Linked DNA regions of Saccharomyces cerevisiae S288C. The main gene of each other region encodes a partner of the protein of the gene in region 2 in a complex. Each region holds a gene or a part of one and is shown on either strand. Other genes may lie near its edges.

Region 1 (5,850 bases), on a different chromosome or scaffold from region 2:
ACATTCATGTAGCTTCCGTCGAACCGTGCTTAAGTATATCCGATAATTACAACAGTAGTGACAAGAAAAGCTCAATTAACAACAAAGTGCGGATGTACATTGAGAATAGAGATTTGAGGACTTTCAGTAATTCTCGACGTTTGCCAGGCGCAAAAGGAGTCACTGACCTGTGGGTGGAGGAATATACGTATCATACTATGAATACTTTTCCAACACTAATGAATAGATCAGAAATTGTAAAGGTTACGAAGAGCAAACTTTCTCCACTTGAAAATGCAATTCGTTCCTTACAAGTTAAAATACAGGAGTTATATGGGCTTGAAAACATGTGCAATAAAACTCTGAAGGACCACGGTGATGTGAACGATTTATTTACCGAGCTTTCTACAAATATTACGGGAACAATATCAGCTCCAGTTAATGGAGGCATATCACAGTACAAGGCCTTTTTAGAACCCTCCACATCCAAGCAGTTCAGTACTGATGATTTAGGAAGATTGACGCTAGCTTTTGATGAGCTTGTTGCAGTATTAGGTCGCTGTCTAACGTTGCATGCAGAACTACTACCATCAAAGGATCTAAAACCATCACATGATCTTCTAGTGCGTCTTTTTGAGGAAAATTTCGCTGAGGAGATAGAAAGATATAGTCGTACTCTCAGTGAGGCCAATCGTAGCAGGAATAACATGATTACTGCTCGAATAATTTCGCACAAGAACCCCAATAAAAAGGCAAGCTTTTCTGGAAGGGATCATCACACCTCAGGGTCCAATCATAGCCAATTTGTATTAGAACATAGCGACTCATTTGGCCCAAACAGTTTACTTTTTGGAAAATATTTAACAAGAACGTTATCCCACTCGTCCACTACGAGCAGTTTGGATAAAAGTGGAATTGTTTCCGGCACTTCGAGCACCTTTTTGGCAGGGTCACAGCCAAACACCAACACAGATTCACAGCACAAGCATGATTACTCACATTCGGGATAATATGTCAGAAGTTGTTCACTATAAAATATACGCATATGTAATCATTTATTTATTCATTCATGACTTTTAGTTGAAAAGGGCACATTTTTCTTTGTCGTAAAAGTGAAGAAGACAGCGAATTTTTTCCTTTCTCCTTCAAGTATTGCTTTTTTGATAAAGTATTTTTCGAAATATTGATACAATTATTGAATCTTTGTACCGTATCCTTTTTTTCCTTTTTTCTAAGGATTCTTCACGTTGTAATTTAAAGTGTACAGGGAAGAAAAATCGTCAATTTTACCGGGCCAGATTGTCTCAGGAAGATAAGTTCCATTTTCCGCTATAAAATTCTGACGTTCTTCCTGGTCCTGAGCATCTAAATTCTGCAACTGCTTTTCACAATCTTTCAATATAGTTTTCATTCTGTTTGCCACATCCTTTCTCCTCTTTGCTTCTAGAACTAAGTTACCGTAGCTTTCTTCAAAATTATCATAAAATTCACAAAGTTCCTTAGTTGTTTGAATATCTTGTGTACAGGAATTTTTGAAGCTATCAATCAGATTGGAAATATCTTTAAAGATTAATAGATATTCCAAATTTCTATTGAAATCGTTTATTATTTCAGAAACTTCGCTGTGTAGTTCTGTCTTTTCCTTTATTTTTGCCTGCAAAAATTGACCCAAGTTAAGAATTGTTTTGTCCACGTCATCAATTACCTCATGCAGAGTTTTGAAAATGTTGTATAGTTCTTTGTCGTCGCCTTGTACCACCTTAAACAGCTCCTCACGTTCATCGTTATCAATTTTTTTATCTTGTAACAGCAATGTCTTATCAAAGTGCTGTGTCAATGAATTCATTATCTCTGCTAAATCTTTTTCAAGGTCCGTTAGTTCCCTGCTAAACTGCTCTGCAACATTTGTTTCCATCAGGTTATCTATACCAAATTTACTTTGGAATTTTTGAGTTACGTCCGTCAACTTGGTATCAATCAGTTCTTTGTTAACTTTTCTGACCATATTTTCGTATTGAAGCTTAATGTTTTCAATTTGACGCTCAATTACTGGCACTTCTTTCAGTTTGTCATTCAATAAGTTAACGTTGTCTCTCGAGATGTAATCTCCTAGTTTAGAGGGATCGGTATCATCTTTTTCTGATATGCTCAATTCATTTACTATACCATCCAACCTTTGTACTTTAGAAGTGATTTCATATTGCCAGTACTTCATCTCATCAACTAAGACCACTAAGACAGCTTGATTCCATTGTTTCTGGATTAGCTTTGTCCCAATGCCTTCCTTTAAAATAGTGTAAAGAAACTTTCCTTGCTGTCTCAAGCCAACTATTAGAAAATTGAGTTTTGAAATACTCAACTGCCAAGATGACAATTTTTTCTTAATATCTACAATCCTTAAATTAGCACTTGAACATAAAAGTTGAGCATCGGTCAGCGTTTTCCTGGCATTATTAACAAATTTTGTAACATCTGCTTCGTTCATAGGTGTTAAATACGTTGATAATATCCTCGCAGTATCGAATTTATCGTACGTTATGCGACTTTCAAATAATTATCAAGTTAGGGATATCTTGCAATTTTTAATACTGAGGCCTTAGAGCGCGCATCTAGTATTTACATTATGTCAAAACAATAACAAAAATCCAAAATTTCGAAATAGTACAACCGAGAGAGGTCGAAGAACTTAAGCCTTCAGTACGCCAAAACATGGAGGATTCGGACTCCAACACAGATAAAAAGTTCTTTTTCAAAAAAAGAAGAATCGATTCCTATAATTATAGCGATGAGGAAGATAATAATTCAAGCATGAATAGTGACATGACATACACTAATGATGCCTTGAAAACTAGTAGCGGCAATGCCCCAACGATCTCAAAATTAACGAAGACATATGGTATTGGTGCGAAGTTACTTTCGAGTATGGGATATGTTGCGGGAAAAGGCCTTGGGAAGGATGGTTCTGGTATAACTACACCAATAGAAACCCAAAGCCGACCTATGCACAATGCAGGTCTAGGAATGTTTTCAAATACCAACTCCAGTAACTATCACAGTGAAAATGAGGATTACTTGAGCTCTGAGGATGAGGTGGTTGAAGGTATAGAACAAGTCAAATTCAATAAAACCTCCACGGAGGTTTTAGGCGAAGCGTTGTTAAATGATAGTGGTGATATGACTATAGTGCGAACACTGAGAGAATTGAGGTTAGCAGGGGTACAATTACCAGAGAGTATCCTAAAAGAATTAGACCCTTTAAATGCAGTACCAAAGCCGAAAAAAGATGTTGTTGTGGAGATATTGCAAGAGCTGCTGGGTATTGAAAAAAGTTTGGAAGCTATTCGTCAGCGCACCTCTCCGTTAGAAGTGCAAGTCAAAGAATATTATGGACAAGAGAGGCTTCTTTCTGAATTGGAGGTTACTTTGAGGGACGAAAGCAAGCATGTTTCCCTGTATGATAAGATTGGTGCTATTTTAAAATTGTCCGACGACGAGCTCATAGATAGGCTAACGTCCTGCTTATTGAGAAAAGAATTACTAATAGAATTTGATTTGGATCATTTAGAAAAGCCAAACGATATACTTGATGAGTTAACGCAAATTATAGAACTACTCGCATATAGAATGGATACAACTTCGAAATTTTTGAACAGGACACAAACAACAATCTTTAAAGTTATATATCCCAAACTCAAAAAATTTTGGGAAGGGTTTGATATGACTAAATCAAAAATCGACAGCGCTATCACCCTATTACTGGATTTCCAACAAGTGCTAAGTTTTATCGGGTGTAAAGAGCATATCATGGAGGAATTCGTCTATCCAAAGCTATTACAGGAATTAGATAATTGGGAACTTCACGATGAAGTAGACCATGTTTCGCCAAGAATATGGGTCTTGGATTTTATGGTTTTAATTGACGATAAGATCAAAGACACAATTGTGGACAAGATTGAAGCAAAATTTTTTGCTTATTGTAAAAATTGGTACCATAGGGAATCATTTTGTATCACTAATTCTGATATTATATTTATCAAAGAACTTATCTGCGAACGAAGATATTACAAAATTTTATGTAAAGAGTTTCTTCCTAAATTCCTGGACGAGCTGTGGGAAAGACATAATGACCCCATCTACGAGTTAGAGGATTGGAAGGAAAAACAGGAATGGAAAGAAAAAGATTCTGGATTTTTCTATTTTATGAAAAAACTGAGAAGTTATACCCATTATTTTCATCCAAAACAGTATGAATTGATGATGCGGGGAACCTTTAATAATATAAACAAAATACTCTATCAATGGCATCTTTATAGTACAGTGGAAGACTTACACAAGTCAAAGTGGTGGCTTAATTGGCTGATGAATACGGTATTTGAGCACTCTTTACCAACAGAAATAGAACTATCGGAGATCAGAAAAAGCTATAATATATTCGCTATGTCTCATAGGTACCACCTTGATAAATCTACATTAGATGAAGATTTCGATTTGAGACAGGGTTTACGAAACTTAATGGAAACACAAGTGATCGACGATATTAGTCAAAGCGAACAAGAACCTACCTATACTGTACAAAATATTCCGCTTGGAAAAGTTAGCAGCTCTTTCAAGGATGTGGTAGAAGACTACTGCCTGGAAAAAGGGTACTTGATCAGCAAAATACCAAATAGGTACACTCAACTGCCATATGGAAGAGACCAAGATTGTATAGTTCCTTTATTTGAGATCCGAAACGGGAAGAAAAAAATGGAAGTTGCTTTGAAACATGATATTCTTTGGGTGGAGGATTCCAGTGGGACCTTTAAGCCAATTTATTTATGGGCCCTTGACCTCTAGAAAGTACCTATAAAAGAGGTGAGATAGGCACGATTTATATATTATTGTCGAAAAACAAAATTGATTAGATTACTAAATAAATAATAATTGCATTACCATTTTTAGACAATGGATTAATTTAAAGTGGAGTCTATTAATTCCCCTTATTTGATAGTTGTTGGTATTTTGCCCTTGAAATGTTTCCAAAATTTATTGTTTAAACTTTTATACTTCGCTAGACTCTCGTAGTTAGACTGTTAAGAGTTGTGGCAGAAGGAAACGAGTTTCGGATGGGATCAAAGGACCTTTTTTATATCAAGATCAAATGGAGCTGTTATTTTCCAAGAAAGACAGAAGAAAGCCCGAATGTGGCTAAGTAGTGAGCCTAATCAAGTAGTCAGCTTCACTTGATATTAGTTTATACGATTACTATTTTAATGGAGTTTTTAGCTCACTAAATAATTTAATGCAAAAAAAATAAACGACCCCAGTGAGGGTTGAACTCACGATCTTGCGATTAACAGTCGCACGCCTTAACCAACTTGGCCATGGAGTCTTTTATTTCCGATATCTGCTGAGTTAAAAATTATATAATATTATTGATAGCTTCTATCATTGACCTTCAATTACTTATGTTGGAATATCAAAAATGTGAGATTTTTTTTTTCAAATAGTTTTGAAGAATCAGCGAATAATTTGATACTTTTTGGGATTCTTGTTAGTAACGGCTATTGTTGGAGTTAAACTTCTTTAAATTTGTAGAGTATGTGGATTTTGATGTAATTGTTGGGATTCCATTGTGATTAAGGCTATAATATTAGGTATGTAGATATACTAGAAGTTCTCCTCGAGGATTTAGGAATCCATAAAAGGGAATCTGCAATTCTACACAATTCTATAAATATTATTATCATCATTTTATATGTTAATATTCATTGATCCTATTACATTATCAATCCTTGCGTTTCAGCTTCCACTAATTTAGATGACTATTTCTCATCATTTGCGTCATCTTCTAACACCGTATATGATAATATACTAGTAACGTAAATACTA
Region 2 (6,067 bases):
CCTGTTGCAGAGCTTCTAATGCGAAAAAGGCTGTTTGAACAACATTTGCAAGCGTATCTCTCGAAACACTATCAAACAAACTAGCCAGCTCGTCTACGACAGATTCAACAGTACCACCGTTAACGATCAATAAGACAATATACTCCGCAACATACTTGATATCTTCGTTAAAGTTTGGTATACCAGCCAGTTTTTCGGCAACGATAACCTTCAAGTTTTCTGTGTACTGTTCTTGAGACATTTCTGATGTACTTCCACTTCCTTATGATCAGAGATAATTAGAAACCACTATATTTAGATGTTTTATGGAAGTATTTGGAAGAAAGATGTGTAAAATTTTGTATTTTTCCCATTTGCCACCAGCGAAGCGAATATCACTATTTCCCCGCTTCGTATTTTGTGTAACGATGTACGAGAATACAACAATGTTTATATAATTGTATATGAATGTTCTCTTCACATTAAACTCTGTGTATAAGGTCGCGTTGAGCAAGCTAGTGATAGAACCTTCTCCTAGGATACATAGAAAGAGTGTCATCAGTTCTTGTTAGCTCTTCTTGTAACTGTGTGAACAAATCGTCGATGTCCCAGTCCAGTTCTGACATTTTCATTGAAAGCACATCCCTATATAAACGTCTCGCCTGGTTCCTTTTTTCTAGCAAAAGTGCTAACAAAGATGGCAGTGTTGTGGCAGTAACTTCCCTTGATTCAGGCTCAATTTTGTAATGAACCACACGATCGGTAAGTGTGTGCAACTCTCCGACAACGGTGACGAGGTTTTCTTGAGTATTGGAGAATAACAAAACTTCCCAGAAATTATAAGTTGGTTCAGCCCCAGCCGAGGCTTCTTCCTCGATGTCACTTAGATAAAACATGATTGCTACTTAAAAGATTTCTTATCTTCTCTGTAGTTCAAATTAGATAGTGGAAAATAAGTTTTCTTAATATACAGATATATGCGGTTTACCCCAAAACTACTTTGATGGGAAGCCAACATCCTCGTTGAAATTGAGTGATTAATTTCGTTGCAAGAGTAAGATGCTCGTTTTAAGCATCGTTAAAGGAGTAATTTACCTTTACGGTAATCTTTGCCATTTTTAAGGGAACTTCCTCACACCGCGGTTTGTTTCTTTATTTGTTCTTGTAAAAACACCTCGAAGGGAATATAGGATGTGCTCTATATAGACATACCCAACAAAAGAAAAAAGCTTCTTTTTGATACAGGGCGCTATGATTTTAGTACAAGCAGCTTTAGGTTACGTGTACCTATTTCTAGTTGAATTTTCTCTCTATGAAATAGTCCTATAAATTTATATAAATCTATTTTTTTTTTTTTTTCGACACAAAATGTCTATTTCTTGGAGTGCTTACTCTTCTTTTTGTTTTTACCTTGTTTCAACTCGTTTAATCTATCAACTTTTTCCTTGATCCTTTCCAAAGATAATTTGACATCACCTTTTTGGAAATTGCTTAAGTCGTAGTATGCAGGCGCTATTTCAATCAGCCATTCGGGCCTGACCGAGGTCACAGTTCTTATGTAGTTCTTCGATGTGAGCACAAATTCATTGTAAATGACCCATTCTGCGTCGTGGCCAAGAACCGTACTAGGATGGATCAGAACATCTTGGTTATCTTTAACTGTGATGTATCCTTTAGCTCCCGATCTTTTTTTTGCTACTTGCATGAAAAACCCAGACGCAAGAGCCTTTCTGATGTTGTCAAAGTATTTAGGGCTTTCATAGTCTGTAGTGTTTAATTCTAGGTTGTAACGGTTCATTAATCTTTCTAATTGGGAGCGGATATTATCAGCAGCGGAAAGGGACCTGTAATTTAGATAGTGGTCACGGCACCACTTATGGATACCATATTCATAAGCTTCATCCGATTTGAACGCATGATATACATTTAGTAAGGTGATATGATCACCGTCTGGATGAGCAAAGATATTCTTGGCATCATCTGCTCGCTTCTTGTCCTTTGTTGGGCGAATAAACACGTTTGGAACCGATAGCATGGCCACTATAGTTAGTATTTCTTGAGAACATTGGAACTCAAAGGACCCAATTAACATCACCGCTAGCATAGGATCCAAGGGAAACTGGGATGCCAATCTACCTAGGGGTGTTAAGTTACCTTCGTCGTCCAGACATGCCAAATAATTTAGTTCTTCAAGGGCTCTCATCATTGTTTCCGGAGCCGGTGGATCCATAAAATCGAAATGGACCAAGTCATCAATACCTAATTTTTTTAGTTCTAGAACGGTGGAGGATAAATTGGAACGTAAAATTTCTGGGTAACTTTGCTCTATCAGTTCCTTTTGGAATGCCTCTTCAGTGTATAATCTGAAACATTTACCAGGCCTTGTACGACCAGCACGACCAGCTCTTTGTTGGGCAGAAGCCTTGGAGATAGGGGAAACAAGTAAAGACTCAACTCTAATTCTTGGATTGTAAACTTTTTGCTTTGAAAATCCTGGGTCAACGACGTAGACAATACCATCAATTGTTAAAGAAGTTTCAGCGATGTTCGTGGAGATAACAACTTTCCTGCCTGGTCTACCATTATGTGACTCTGGAGCAGGCTCGAATATTCTTTGTTGTTGATGCGGTGGTAATGAACCATACAGTGGGTATACGGATAAAGGTCCGCATCCCTCTTCTCTAACCAATTGATCACCTTCTAAGGAAATCTTTCTGACAGCGTCTTCAATTTCATCTTCACCAGTTAAAAATAACAAAATATCGCCAGCCTCTTCAGTGGCATGAATTTGCAAAACAGTACGAATGGCAGAATCTAAATAGTCCCTTTGAAATTCCGGTGTATAGTATAGCTCAACTGGATATGTTCTGCCCGGAACGGCAAGTAATGGAGCATCGTTGAAGTAGCGTTGGAACTTCTCTGCATCCAGAGTAGCAGACATAATAATTATCTTCAAATCAGGTCTCCTCTTGACTACTTGCTTCAAAAGACCCATCAAAATATCAGTAGCTAGTGTACGTTCGTGCGCTTCATCCAGAATGATACATGAATAACGCGACAAGTCATGGTCTTCCATTGCCTCTCTCAACAACATACCATCAGTCATATACTTCAATATCGTTTTATTAGAAGTTTTATTTTCGAATCTGATAGAATAACCAACTTCTTCGCCCAACTTGACATCCATTTCCTCAGCAACTCTCTGTGCAACAGACATTGCTGCGACACGACGAGGTTGAGTACATGCAACTTGAGTGTTCTCTAAGTGTGGCATCTCATCGAATAAAACGAATTGAGGAATTTGTGTCGTTTTACCGGAACCTGTTTCACCAACAAAAACCATAATCTGGTTATTTTGATAAAGTTTTAAAAACTCATCTCTCTGGGCATGTACTGGCAATTCTCTTCTAATTTTCAGGATATCAACATATTTTGGTGTAAACTCCCTACCGGTAAATGGATTTATTTTTCCATCTTCAAGTTTTTGGGCCTCTTCTGCTGAAGTATGGTGACGTTGCAAGCCCTTGAATTCACCAGCATCATGATGGACAAGTGGCTCTTCGGATGGAAGAGGATGCTGTTTGGATAATTCTTCCGCAATCTCGGCGGCCTGCTCAGGAATAGAGGTCTCAACTGGATCCGGGTGTTCGGACGAGAATCTTCTTTTGGAACCCATTATTATTCTTGCAGTCCTAATCTTTCTATGCGCGTTTATAAGGTTATACTATCGTTACTCAATCGCATCCCCGTAAACGTGTTAAATATTACAATTGAATAAGTTTCTTTTCACCTCATCTCGCATTTGAAAATTTTTCAGAGGCACCGAAAAAAAAGAAAAAGAAATAAAAAAGGACTTGTGTATAAGATCGCTAGATCAATAAAAAGCAATCTGGTAGATTTATGGGACTCCGAAATGATACTGTCAGTTGAAACAGCAAACGAATACAGAGCGTAAAACTAAACGACCTTAGTTTGGAAAATGATGAAATTTGTCCATAACTATATACTATCAGTCAGCAAACTATGATCCGGGTAATATTCATTTGTAAAGCTTTAGATCTGTAATAGTACCCAGTACTTTTTTAGATGATCTTAATTAGTTAAGATCTTTCTGGTACTGTACTCAGTACGCTTCCTTGGCATCCTTATTGGGACCTGTTCGGCTAAGATATCGTTCGATATGGTTACAAATATGGTGAAATTGAGGAATTTAAGGAGATTGTATTGTTCATCCCGTCTCTTAAGAACTATACAGAACGGGAGAATTTCTTCTGTTTCTTCAATATCGTTGAGTAAGAAATATACTACAAAATCTGCCAAAGAAGGTGAAGAAAACGTAGAAAGGAAGCATGAGGAGGAAAAAAAGGATACATTAAAAAGTTCCAGTGTACCAACTTCACGAATATCGAGATTGTTCCATTATGGCTCACTGGCAGCAGGGGTGGGCATGAATGCCGCAGCAAAAGGCATATCGGAAGTTGCAAAGGGCAATTCTCCCACTTGGAAATCTTTGATTCTATCAGATTCGAATATTGACAGAATTACCAATAAATTTTCTAAAATGAGAGGTGTTGCCCTTAAAATAGGGCAACTATTGTCTTTTCAGGATGAGAAAGTGTTGCCAAAGGAATTATACGAAATTTTATCAAGGGTACAGAATAGTGCAAATCATATGCCTCAAAGGCAATTGGAAAAGGTTATGGCCAAGGAATTAGGTGCTAATTGGAAGACAAAGTTTTCCAAATTTGACAAGATACCTATGGCAGCTGCTAGTATCGGACAGGTACATGCGGCAGAGTTGCCCAGTGGTCAAAGAGTGGTTGTCAAAATTCAATATCCTGGGGTTAAAGAATCCATTGATTCGGATTTGAATAGTTTACTAATGTTACTTACAGCCTCAAGTTTATTACCGAAGGGATTATTTTTGGATAAGACAATTGCCAACGCTAGAACTGAGTTAAAATGGGAATGTGATTACAACAGAGAGGCTAGAGCTCTACAAAAGTTTGAGGCGTTGCTAAAGGATGACCCAGCGTTTGAGGTTCCTCATGTGTTTCCTGAATATACAACCGATAATATTATAACTATGACACGTATGGAGGGAACTGAAATAATGAAATTGCCCAAGGCATCACAAGAAACCAAAAATTTTATTTCGGAGAATATCATGAGACTATGTCTGGAAGAAATTGCCACTTTCAAGTATATGCAAACGGATCCTAATTGGGCAAATTTCCTCTATAACGGTAGGACAAAGAAAATTGAATTATTGGATTTCGGTGCCTCCAGACCTTTTGCAGAAGATTTTATTCTAAAATATAGAAAACTTTTAACTTACGCCACATTGAGAGATAGGAAAGGGGCGTACGAAATGTCTGTACAACTGGGCTATCTCACAGGCTTAGAATCGCAGTCCATGAAAGACGCGCACGTCGATAGTGTACTTACACTTGGTGAACCTTTTAGGGGTGATGTAGATAAATCTTTCGATTTCAAGGATCAAACAGTCTCAGACAGGATTAGAGGTAATATCGGGTTAATGTTGAATGAAAGACTATGTCCGCCACCAGAGGAAACATACTCGTTACATAGAAAATTTAGTGGCATTTTTCTTTTGTGTGCAAGAATGGGTGCGTCTGTTCATTGTGCAAAGCTTTTTAAAGAGATTTTTGCCTATAAAGTTTAAAATACTTCCCCGCTATTTGTATATATGCATATCTTTATATTATGAAAGATATTTTTTTATTTACTTTTAGTCCGTATACTTTTATTTTGTTTTGTTAGACAATCTCGAAGAACAAAAAAAAAAGATAAAACAGAAAGATAAATGTGCACTCTTTTGTACCTCGTTCTGCTATAGTACTTCCAACCAGATCGACTGAAAGATTACTAGTATATACGTCATGTTTTTAAATAGTAGTTCCCATTCTGCTTCAGTGAATTAGATATTTTTTTCCAATCATTCTCTTTAAACCCTCTGCGATAGTGATCCAACATTTTCTTAGCAACGCTAATCCTTCTGCCAATAGCTTCTCAAAATATACACCATTAACTTTACAACATTACATAATATGACATTCCACAGAAC
Region 3 (4,352 bases), on a different chromosome or scaffold from region 2:
TTAACTTCTCCTCAGGCGTTACCATTATCGCCCATCACCTCACCAATTCTCAATTACCAACCATTATCAAACTCCCCGCCTCCAGATTTTGATTTTGATCTAGCTAAGCGCGGCGCAGCCGATTCTCATGCTATTCCTGTGGATCCTCCATCATATTTTGATGTATTAAAGGCCGATGGGATTGAATTGCCATACTACGATACAAGTTCATCTAAAATTCCTGAACTAAAACTAAACAAATCTAGAGAGACATTGGCCAGCATTGAGGAGGACTCATTCAATGGTTGGTCTCAAATTGATGACTTATCCGACGAAGATGACAATGATGGCGATATAGCATCTGGTTTCAACTTCAAGCTGTCAACCAGTGCTCCGAGTGAGAACGTTAATTCACACACTCCTATTTTGCAGTCTTTAAACATGAGTCTTGATGGGAGAAAAAAAAATCGTGCCAGTCTACACGCAACATCAGTGTTACCTAGTACAATAAGACAGAACAATCAGCATTTCAATGACATAAACCAGATGCTAGGCAGTAGTGACGAAGATGCCTTTCCCAAAAGCCAATCATTAAATTTCAATAAGAAACTACCAATACTTAAAATTAATGATAACGTCATACAATCAAACAGCAATAGTAATAACAGAGTTGATAATCCAGAAGATACAGTGGATTCTTCAGTCGATATTACAGCATTTTATGATCCAAGAATGTCATCAGATTCCAAATTTGATTGGGAGGTAAGCAAGAACCATGTTGACCCAGCAGCCTACTCGGTTAACGTTGCTAGTGAAAACCGTGTACTGGACGACTTTAAGAAAGCATTTCGCGAAAAGAGAAAATAAGTACATTATTTTCATTCTCCGACAGAATTGCTACCATTTTACTTTGTGTCCTGTGATTCAATAGTGTACAATATATTGGACATTTTATAGTATACAAATATACACCATCAATCTATACATCCATATCACTTGTCGTAAAGATATCCCTTTTTAATAGTACAGCGATTAAAAAAATAACATGATTAACGTTCAGTTACCAATGAGCTTATTTATTAGGCTTGCTTTAGATTTTTCCAAGTCAATTTTTGTTTTTTCTAACGCTTGCAACCTCATCTCAACCTTCTTCCTTTGCAAGCAGATCTTCGAAACCATCTCGTTTATTCTCTCAATGCTGTTCCCACTTTCATCATCGTCTGGGAAAAGTACCGGTAAGGGCGTGATGATTTTCTCATTCGATTTGTTTATATTTCCTTTGCTTAAAAGCTGGGTTTCCCATTCTTCATTAGTTCTGTAGGGCACTTCATTTATGGCCTTCTCTATAATCTTTCTTTTAGAATCCTTTTGAATAGCAATTTGATTATCCGTGAGGGCTAGCATTTCGTCTTGAAAGCCTTGCATTTCATCGTCACTGAAGTTCGTAATCTCCTTTTCATTGTTACGTTTCAGACCACCATTTAATCTTATTGTCTCCATAATTTCGCGTTTATCCTCACTGTCCAACAATTTTACATAATCTCTTTCTGTTGTAACATCACTCTCACTAATTTTCCTTCTAGATAATGACTTCTGTGCTTTCAGTTTTGCAATTTCTCCTCGGGTTGGTATACTACTAATGTGCTCACCTTCGGAGCTACTGCCAGCCTCTGAAGAATCACTTAATAGATGATGATTCCCCTCCATCAAGTCCTCCATATTGAGAATTAGCAAATCATCTTTGTTTCGCGTCGATGCATTGGTATTTTTCTTTGAATGGTAAAGATCTTCATAATGCGAATTATCCTCCTTTATTGCTTGTTCGCCATCAAAGGTAATGTCGCGCTTAGGAACTTTTTTAAACTTTATTGGTTGTAATACACAAATGTCGTTGTCATCATCTTCAGAATCGTTCGACACTAGGGGCTTAATTTGCTGCATTGGCTTATGCGCAGAACCATCAATTCCAACCTCCTCAGGAGAACCACTTGGTAACCTAATTTTATTTCTTTTCTTGATCGCCATAATGTGTTCAAATGCTATAACATTGCTAGGCAGAACTTGACGTAACTCGACCAGTTATATTGCTTCTTCAAAGCACAAATTTATGATGATTGCTTTCAGTTATGAGGTTCATTTCGATATTCTTTATGATCTTCGCTTGCCGGGTATCGGACAAATATTGAAATATTATACAGCAAGAAAGAGGCATAAAGAGCCTGGCAGCAGCAAATAATGGCAAAGTGAACGTAGTCCGAGAAACAGTGGCTTAATTATTTAACCTTGGGTTTGCAGTAATTAATAATGACAAGAAAGCAGGCTATTGACTATGCAATCAAACAAGTTCCGCAAATATTGCCTTTGGAAGAGTCTGATGTAAAAGCGCTGTGCGAACAAGTACTGAGTACATCATCTGATGATCCAGAACAAATTGCTTCAAAATTTTTGGAGTTCCTAGGTCATGAAGATCTATCGTTTGAATTTGTAATGAAGTTCAATGAATTATTGAATCAGAATGATAAAAAAGAGGAAAAAAAAACGAAAAATGTGCATCTTGAACATACTGCCCCCACTTCATGGAAAAATGAATCAAAACAGCCCACTAATAACTATATCAATAAGAAGGGAGATGAAAAACCAAAAAAATTAAAGGATGAGAAGAAAAGCTCGACAACGAGGCCTACCGTTCAACCATCAAATCAATCTACGCAATCAAACCCCATAAAGGAGAAAAAAGAGCACAGATCAAAGGGGAAATTACAATCGTTACAAGAAATAGACGAAGCAATCAAGATGCTAGAGCTTCGAGATAGCGGTTCTTCTAAAAATTGTAATTGTCAAGGTACAAGGCATCCAGTTTTCGACATCGCGCCAAACTGTCTTCACTGTGGTAAAGTGGTTTGTGTTATAGAGGGATTGAATAAAGGTAAATGCGGTCATTGCCATGAACAGTTGATTTCTGATAACGAAAGAACCCAAATGGTAGAAATTTTAAATCAGGAAAAAAACGAACTAAACGGTTCATCATCGTCCTTATCCAATGCGTCAAATGGAGCTAATGTCCCAAAGAAGAAGACTAAAACCTACAAAATAACTTCCGGTATGGGTAAAAATTTATTTGCTGAACAGGACAAATTATTTGATTTCATCGAAAGGAAAAGAGAAAGAGAAAGAAAGCGTAATGAAGTGTTGAAATTGCAGGAGGAAAAAGAAGAGAGCGAAGCAAAGGAAAGACAAGCGAGCGAGCATGACCATAAAGCTGAGGAAAACCCGGAGTTGTTAGCAGCACAAGAACGATTAGATAGACTTTTATATTTCCAAGACACTTCGGCAGAAAGAACAAAAATTATTGATAATGCCAGCGATTTTGACATGAATCAGGAGGTGGGTTTATGGGGCAGCGCAAGAGAAAGAGCTCTTGCGTTGAAGAAGCAACAACGTAATTTGAGAAAGTGGGAAAAAGTAGAAAAGGAACGGAATGGCAGGCGCGAGAAGTACGTTGTTAGCATGAATATAGGTTCAAACGGTAAAGTTACTATGACAGAAGTCCCTAAGGATACAGAGAACGTAATTGCAGGTTCAGATGATGACATCAGTGATATAAGTGACGAAGAAGATATCAGCGACCTTAAACATATACACGCTCTGAAAAGTGAAATAAATACAACGAAATCCTTGGAGAATTTGCATTTACAGTCCAAAGCATGGGATTACGAACGTGATAAAAAACAATTCGATAGGCCTACGTATGTGAAAAAAAATTCAGATACTGCACAACAGAATAGAAAAACGGAAGAAAAGGCTCACGACATGCAAGCTTATGATTTAAAGTCAAGAGTACAAGTGGACCAAAATGCAGACGCATCAGTAGAACAGAATATTCTTGCTGTACTTTGATGAATGGTAAAAGTTTATATTATATATGATAGAGGATATAACCGTTATTCATTTTCTGTAGATTTTATCATTTTCTTTGTCTTCATAGTATACAATTTTTTTTTATATGAATTAATGCTTGTTCTTGTCTATTTAGTAGTTAAACTCACTTGCTATTTGCTTCTCTGCCATACGAGCCATACGAAACATTTTATTTTTAGAGTTTTCCTTAGTTGGCTTCTTTTCACTATTACCATCCTTACTACTTTGCAATCCCATAGCCTTTGGCCTTTCACGTAACCCAAAACTTTTAGCTAAATGGCCTAGATGTAAGAACTTCACGTTGAAAAACTTCTTTTCTTGAGAGATATGCGTTGCGTAAGCCCTCACATGACTAATGAAACCTTTAACGGCCAAATTTTTGAATGCGGAATCTCCCACTACTCGTCTTTCTATATTCAAATGCCATGTCGTAGCATTGGTATCCCACTCATATT

Evidence for each region.
Region 1: PRP43 (region 2) and SPP382 share a complex: the UniProt entries of both Saccharomyces cerevisiae proteins name them as parts of the NTR complex.
Region 3: PRP43 (region 2) and NTR2 share a complex: the UniProt entries of both Saccharomyces cerevisiae proteins name them as parts of the NTR complex.

What each region holds. Positions count from the first base shown.
Region 1 is NC_001144.5:970,707-976,556, forward strand, and holds SPP382 (mRNA splicing protein SPP382), read left to right. Parts: upstream 1-2,688; coding exon 2,689-4,815; downstream 4,816-5,850. Other genes in the region: guanine nucleotide exchange factor DCK1, read left to right, coding at 1-989; protein kinase regulatory subunit ATG17, read right to left, coding at 1,211-2,464. UniProt on the Saccharomyces cerevisiae protein: Involved in pre-mRNA splicing and spliceosome disassembly. Promotes release of excised lariat intron from the spliceosome by acting as a receptor for PRP43.
Region 2 is NC_001139.9:280,283-286,349, forward strand, and holds PRP43 (DEAH-box ATP-dependent RNA helicase PRP43), read right to left. Parts: upstream 3,656-6,067; coding exon 1,352-3,655; downstream 1-1,351. Other genes in the region: mRNA-binding protein NAB2, read right to left, coding at 1-241; GPG1 (Gpg1p), read right to left, coding at 495-875; protein kinase COQ8, read left to right, coding at 4,160-5,665. UniProt on the Saccharomyces cerevisiae protein: Pre-mRNA processing factor involved in disassembly of spliceosomes after the release of mature mRNA.
Region 3 is NC_001143.9:481,136-485,487, forward strand, and holds NTR2 (Ntr2p), read right to left. Parts: upstream 2,005-4,352; coding exon 1,036-2,004; downstream 1-1,035. Other genes in the region: ALY1 (Aly1p), read left to right, coding at 1-846; RQT4 (Rqt4p), read left to right, coding at 2,284-3,876; DBP7 (putative ATP-dependent RNA helicase), read right to left, coding at 4,009-4,352. UniProt on the Saccharomyces cerevisiae protein: Involved in pre-mRNA splicing and spliceosome disassembly. Promotes release of excised lariat intron from the spliceosome by acting as a receptor for PRP43.